2 linked regions of the Kluyveromyces lactis genome follow. The protein of the gene in region 2 interacts with the protein of the main gene of each other region in a pairwise test. Links are inferred from orthologs where the notes say so. Each region holds a gene or a part of one and is shown on either strand. Other genes may lie near its edges.

What was found.
Region 1: the proteins of MAK5 (region 2) and RPF1 interact in binary tests that used the Saccharomyces cerevisiae proteins (3 or more experiments, as listed by UniProt). The link is inferred for Kluyveromyces lactis from reciprocal best matches to the Saccharomyces cerevisiae genes MAK5 and RPF1.

Annotation. Positions count from the first base shown.
Region 1 is NC_006042.1:2,012,163-2,015,059, forward strand, and holds RPF1 (rRNA-binding ribosome biosynthesis protein RPF1), read right to left. Parts: upstream 1,454-2,897; coding exon 575-1,453; downstream 1-574. Other genes in the region: KLLA0_F21692g (pleiotropic drug resistance family ABC transporter), read right to left, coding at 1,990-2,897. UniProt on the Saccharomyces cerevisiae protein: Essential protein. Required for biogenesis of the 60S ribosomal subunit.
Region 2 is NC_006039.1:966,652-971,139, forward strand, and holds MAK5 (ATP-dependent RNA helicase), read right to left. Parts: upstream 2,807-4,488; coding exon 416-2,806; downstream 1-415. Other genes in the region: SUP45 (translation termination factor eRF1), read left to right, coding at 1-189; BMT2 (25S rRNA (adenine2142-N1)-methyltransferase), read left to right, coding at 3,138-4,202; SWS2 (mitochondrial 37S ribosomal protein uS13m), read left to right, coding at 4,417-4,488. UniProt on the Saccharomyces cerevisiae protein: ATP-binding RNA helicase involved in the biogenesis of 60S ribosomal subunits and is required for the normal formation of 25S and 5.8S rRNAs. Required for the maintenance of dsRNA killer plasmid.

The sequences.
Region 1 (2,897 bases), on a different chromosome or scaffold from region 2:
CCAATTCGCTTTAGTTACAAGACAGAATTGGATCAGATATTTCCTGTTGTTTTCAAAATGAGTCCAGAATCAACGTTAAGATGCTGAAAACAAAAGAGAGGTAATAGCAACAGTGTACAAAAAAAAGAGTAAAGTGGCTTAGTGTTTTTACTGTCAGTGTTTACTTTCCCAGTGATCGATCGTGTTAATAATTCCTTTCCAATAAAACAACAATAACAAACAGCCTGAAAAAATACTTTTTCTTAGATTGCAATCGATCAAATATAATGACCAAGAATATGACAATCCTAAAGAGCAATTAGTGTACCACCTCTTCAGATCAACAGAGTAACCGTTTGTTTCAATTAATCTTTTCAACAGTGGGCTTGTACTCATTTAAGCCCAAAACATTCCAAATCCTTTAAAGGTTTCAATGCCCTGTTTTCTTTAAAGCCAAGGAATTTCTCATTTTGCCACCACTTTTCGTCAGCCTCGTGAGTAGTGATGATAATACCGTCAAATCTTTGATAAATCTCCAAGTGCAGGACTAGTACACAGGTGGCTTTGAATTTGTATATAAATATATGCAAATATATCATAGATTGAACTTCTTCTTTTCTTTGTCCATTGAAGGTTTGTGTTCCCATTCTGTTTCCTCTTTGATACCTCTTTGTAGTCTTTTGAGTTTCATAGTAAATTGGGGCCCAAGTTCTTGAAGACCTACTTTCTCTTCGTTCCTGAAAACGTAACGGTGTCTGCGGAAGAAGATGTAATCTCTTTGATTATGCAGCGTTATCACTTGTCTACCTTCGAAATCAGGGTTCTTAGGGAAAATAGATTGGAATAGTTTACCCACAGTTTTACCAAGTCTGGTGTTGAAATTGTTCAAGATTAACTCTGGAATATGGCTAGTTGGTCTACCATGGCCCACGATCTTTTCGACTTCGACGAAAGAACTTATTTTGAAATAAAAGGTTGGCCCCTCTGGAAGATGAATAAATGTAAGCCCCGTTACTTTCTTCTTATCTTCATTTATTATCACGATATCTGTATAGTTCCTGTTATTACAGAATTCAGAGATTTCCTTCAGCTTGTATCCAAATTTCCTCTTCACGAAAGTCACATTAGGGAAAACTTCGATCAGGATATTAGCGAACTCATATGCCTTCTTTTTGGCGTTTACATTAGTTGTTAATAGAATCTTTGGTGGTTCGGTACCGTTGAAAAATTTCATAAAATCATCCATTTCACCTTCGACTTCTTGACCCATCGTTTCATCGTAAACTCTGAGGTTATCAATTGTGTCAGGAACATTTTCAGCAAGTCTTTTTTCCTTCAATTCCGGATTCTCACGTTCTTCCTTGGCTCTGGTCCTCCTCATAGAATGACGCTCCTTATTGTGCTGATCCTTCAACTCAGCAAAGAGTTTTTGCCTCTTCTGCTTGTTTTTTATTCTGAGTTCATCCACTGCCATTTTGAAATTATAGTATCGTCCGATTTGCTGTTATGCACCCTCGCTATTTGACCTAGAATAAGCTACATAACTAGCTATGTTCCACTATATTCAACTTCTATCTTGTTAGCCTCATCTCATCTCATCTCATCTCATCTGATCAATACAAAAACTTTCAAAATTTTGGAAAGCTAATTTTCGATAAAAAGAAAAGAGTTCACATTCGTCGCTGCAATCATTGTAGGAAGGGTGAGCTGACGAATATCCCATCAAAGGATCTTGATTACCTCAACGACCATCCACAACAGAGATCCATGCTAAAATTGAATAATTTTCGTACTTGCAATCGAGTTATATTGGGACTTTATATGCAATCGAAGTTTCTTTTTTTGGTTTCCATAGTAATATATGGGGAAACCAGATATCAATTCAGGTCTATATATACAGAATAAACAAAATATTAAAGCAGAACGCAAGCCCACGATAAGAAATGAAGTTTAATAGTTAAAAAAAAACAGAAGTAAACGACGTAAAAATTGGCCAAAAAGCAAAAATCCTTAAACTTGTTCATTGGATTGAGGTTCAACCTTTTCCTTTTGAACATTTTCAATTTTCTTGCCATGATCTGGGTCTCTCTCATCAGCCACTCTGTTCTTCTTCTTTGGAACTCTAGCCAACCAGTATAGGAAAACACAACCGCACCAGTTGAACACAATGAAGACTATGAAAATACCGAAATTTCTCCATCTTCTATGGTACGAAGATTGGAAACTTGTCAAAAATGCGTTTGTTTCAGAAATCTTACAGAAATTACAATCTTCCGTAGCATTTGAATCTAGTAGATAACCACCATTCTTGTCAATATAGTCCGCCATGTACTCACCACAGGTTTCTCCACTCCTTGGATTAAAGCTGACGTATTCATAGTTTGCGCATGTTACAGGGTTGTTTGCAAGACCAGTTGAGAGTACACCATCAATAAAGTAAGTTAGCGGTGAAATACGGTACATGAAAATCCAGAACCCTGGCAAAACACCAGAACCACCAAACACACCACAGAAATTCAAGGACATAGTGAACATTAATGATGCCATATTACCTGCAGCCTCAGCATACTGAAGACCTGCAATACACAATTGACCCATTGAACTGATAAATACGTAGAAGGAAACAGAGAATAACCAGAATAACACACCTCTTTCGTTTAATTGACCGGCATATGACGCATTGTTGTAGAAACCAATAGGATAGTAGAAAACGAAGAAGGCAATGGTACCAAAACATATGTTAAGTGGAATTTCAACGGTGATTTGAGAGAAGATAAATGCCAGCCAAGAAAATGTTCTACTTGGACGTTCCCTAGCTTCGTACAAGTCTCTTTGAGAGACGAACAAAGGCAAGTATTGTTGACAAGCTGGATTAAAGATAACTGTGAATGTGAAGATAGCGAATAATTGATTCTGCA
Region 2 (4,488 bases):
TACAAAAACTACGGTGCCAATCTAGAATTCATTACCGATAAATCCTCTGAAGGTGCTCAATTCGTTACTGGTTTCGGTGGTATTGGTGCGCTACTTCGTTATAAAGTCAACTTCGAACAATTGATGGAAGATTCAGATGATGAATATTATGATGAAAATGAAGATGATGATGACTACGATTTCATTTAAACCTCTTCAGTCAAGCGATGTATAAATAGTGTTTATAAATATATATCTTTCTTTTCATTCTTTTCTTTATCATAAGTATCACCAAGATATATTTGATTAAGTTGTATTTGCAAGACATTACATATTTTTCATGCAATTCAAACATTCTTCACACTCCGACAACGACTGTTGTATTGGGAATATATATGTTTTCCTATTTTTATTTCTCTATAGCAGATAAAGGGCTTCATTTATGCTTCTTGCCCTTGAGTGTTTGCAATGCATCCACTTTATCATGTCCAATAATGGAATTGTGACCTTTATGTTTGACTAAAGTGTCAGCGAGATTGGTCAGACCTCCTGTTAGATAGCTTTTTCTTAAATCTTTTCTTAGTGGCATTTTTAATAACTCGTTGAGCTGGTATTTTAGAGCCTTATTTTCATTCTTTTCCAACTGTTTATTCAACTTTTTGGTTTTGTTTCTAGCTAAAAATTGGTCCTTTTCCTCTTCTTCTGAATCTAATTCAATATCCAATTCTTCAGCAGCCTTTTTTAACCAATTATCATCCTTATGTAGTGATTTCGTTGCTATCTCATCATCAGCAAGTTCGCTCGCTATCTTGCTTCTTTCTCTCAGCTGAGAAACGATGTCAGGCTCAAGTGGTAACATTGGGACATCATTCTGCCATTTTGTTTTCCTGGGGTTACTACTCTTCTTGGTAGATAACACCTTTCTGAGCTTTCTTAAAGGTCCCATGGATTCCTGTGGTGAACAAATCATGACAGAAACACCTTCATTATCACCACGGGCTGTTCTTCCACTTCTGTGGATATATACGTCAGCACTGCGGGGTAAGTGATAGTGTAAAACATGTTTGATACCCGAGATGTCCAATCCTCTAGCAGCGACGTCACTAGCAATTAAAATTGTTGGTTTTCCTACCTTGCTATTTTTCTCTGATTGTTCTTTGAACTTTTCAAGGTTCCTAAGACGATTTTTTTGAGCCATTGATGAATGGATCTGGAATGACGAAATCTTTAGATTGTTTAAAAATGCATTCAACTTTTTGACGCTATCTATAGCGTTACAAAATACTAAAGTTGTGCCAGGATACATCATGATAAAGTAGTAGACATATAAGTCACGCTCCATTGGCAAACATTCTATCAGGGATTCTTTGACCTGAGATGTAACTTTATGTTCAGGATTAGTATCGATAATAACTGGCTTAGATTTGAATTGAATTTTCTTCATCAAATGATTTAAAACTTGTTCCATTTCATTGTTCTCCCCACCGGCTGTTTTAAGGATTTTCCATGAAGTTTTATCTAATTTCGTGAAAAGATCCAATGAAAATGTGGCAGAGAAAATCATTGTTTGCCATCCACTTCCAGTTGGCTTTCCGTCGATACTTGTTTTAATTTTTCGGGCTTTCCCTAATAACTTCAAAATTTTCTCGAATTCATCGAAATGTCCGTCTTGTAGTAGTCTGTCTGCCTCATCAAGAACTAAAGTGTCAATTTTGGCAAACCTAGGAATCAGATCTGGGTTCCTTTCTAATAATTCCAAAAATCTACCAGGAGTTGCCACAATGATTCTACCAGAACCATCATATTTTAAGATACGTTCTTGTTTCTGAATCGACAAACCACCTGTTAGTGAAAGAATCGTGTACTTGTTAAGCTTATTCATTTTCGTCCAAACCTTTTGCAAATGGTCAGTTACTTGATGGGCCAATTCTCTAGTTGGGGTAAATATCAAGCCGATAGACCTATCATTTGATGTGTCTTTAATTAATTGTTCAATGATAGGAATACCATATGCTAAAGTCTTACCGGAACCTGTGCTAGCCTTACCCATGATATTATGTCCTTTCAGAGCTAAAGGAATAGATTTCAATTGAATTTCTGTAGGCCTGGTGAAGCCAAGCCCAGAGAGTCCTTTCAGCACTGTGAATGAGAGATCCATATTTTCGGACCACTCAGGAAGTACTGGAGGCTCTTGATCATCGATATCGACGTTAGAGGAAAATACGTTGCTCTGTAATAAGTCATCATTTGTTTGATCTTCAGTGACAACAGTACCTGCTTCCCCCTTAACATTTTCCTTCTCGGATCTTTCTTCTTCTTGATCTTCTGCTTCTTCTCCCTCTTCTCCTTCTTCTTCAGTGGACACATGGAACTCGCTCTCTTCATCATCCGAAGCTGCACTTAACTCACCCTCCTTGATATCGTCAAAATTCTTGAATTCAATTAATTCATCCATGTTGACATCTTCATCATCCTCTTGGAAAACGATATTATCCTTTTCCTCCACTTGCTCCGGCTCTTTCTTAACGTTCTTGTTATCTTTCGTGATGAACTGGACTTTACCGTCGACAACTTTCACATCCACACCATCGATTTCTTCTAATCCGTAGAAACCACCGAAATCATCTAAAGTATCTGGAATATCAACACTCTTCCAATTCAACTCATTAGCATTAACAGTGATATCTGTAGTGGCTACTTTCTTAAGGCTATTCTTATTAACCTTCTTCTTTGAATGATTCTTTGAAATACGGTCTTTCCTATCACTTTTAACAGGCTTCAAGTTCTTGCGATTCTTATTCGCCATTTTTGAAACACCGTATACCATTATTATTTCTGTCCTTTTCTTATACAGAATGAGGTCGACAACAATTAATTACCGAGAAACTTATTGTTCATGCACACGTATGCTGGTATCTCTTCTATCTCATCTCATCTCATCTCTTGGAGCTTCTTTCTCAAGATTTTCTAGAAAGTCGAAAAGAAACGATTCTATTTATGTTACCCGGATATGTCTTAAAAACTGTCCAACTCTTACATAACCGTCTGGTAAACATGATGGTATTGAAGCGAGATGAGCATCTCTCAACAAAACAGGTAAGGGCCACTCGGGTTATAACCCTCAACTTATACGTGAAAAATCTTATTACGTTGTTCCAATGCTCTCTCGAAGAAAGAGGACCATAACTGGAAAACCTGTTGCGAAACATGTACCGAAGATCAAACCTTCCAAGGCCAGGAAGATAATTAGACGTTTCCATCTATTGATTCAGAAGAGAAGAGTGATATGCAACAAGCTGCGATGTGATATAGTAGAAAACGATGAAGAGGCCAACGCTATTAATATTGAGAATTTTTTCCGAAAGAATAAAACTTTACAGGAAGATTTTAATAAGGGCAAAAAGTCTAGACGACCAAATCCAAGATTAGAGGAATTACTTGTTCATGTGCAAAGCATTGAACACAGTCAGCAATTATGTCAAATTCTTGGTTATATATGTGGAGAAATTGAAGAAGATGGCGGTTTGCAGAATTACCAATTTGCTAGTACAGTTGGTCAGGATTCCAACAGAGGTGGTGATTCATCTAAACAATTGGTAAAGTGGTGCAAAGAACTCGGGGTGGATAAAGCTCTGGGTATGAATGCGTTGGAATTGGGATCCCTTAGTGCGAAAAATCATATTTCTGTGTGTGGTCTCTTTAATCCCGTTGTTAGGATTGATCTTAACTCAAATGATACTGTAAATATTGAAAGGCAGGATTTCATGAAAAGACCATTACCAAAGGATGAATCGCAGAGATTTGACCTGATATCATGCTCACTTGTATTGAATTTCGTGCCGACACCCCTTCAAAGAGGCCAAATGATACTTCGATTCAAACAGTTTCTGAAATGTAACAAGAAAACGTATTTGTTTCTAGTTATACCTCTACCTTGCTTGACGAACTCAAGATACATGACTAAAGACAGATTCAATGAAATCATGCATGCGCTAGGGTATAGAAAAATAAGATTTAAAGAAGCAAAGAAGGTGGCTTATTGGCTTTACGAACTCGAACAATCTGAAAACACAATGTGTTCCTCACAAAATATGAACCAATTCGCCAAAAAAGCAAAATTATTGGACAAACCAGGCATGAACAACTTTTCAATTACATTTCCAAACAGGCAACCTTCCCATCAAGGCATTTATACAACGACCAAGCCCCTGTTCTCTAGGTAATAACGGCGGTATCTATGTGTATGTATGCATCAAAACGTACTTAATGATATACATAATCATGGACTTTCAAACATCAAAAAAAAAAAGTCCTACAGAATATTAAACTAAATATTCGGATACGTTAGACAGTACCTGTGATATATGTGGCATATTCTGGGTGAATAATTATCAGCGTAAACCAATAAGAACTCTATATATACAGTGCTTGACCAATATGGTGGTACACATTTTAGGTAAAGGTTTCAAGGGTAAAGAAATTATTAAAATTGGTCTAGCCTCTAAATTC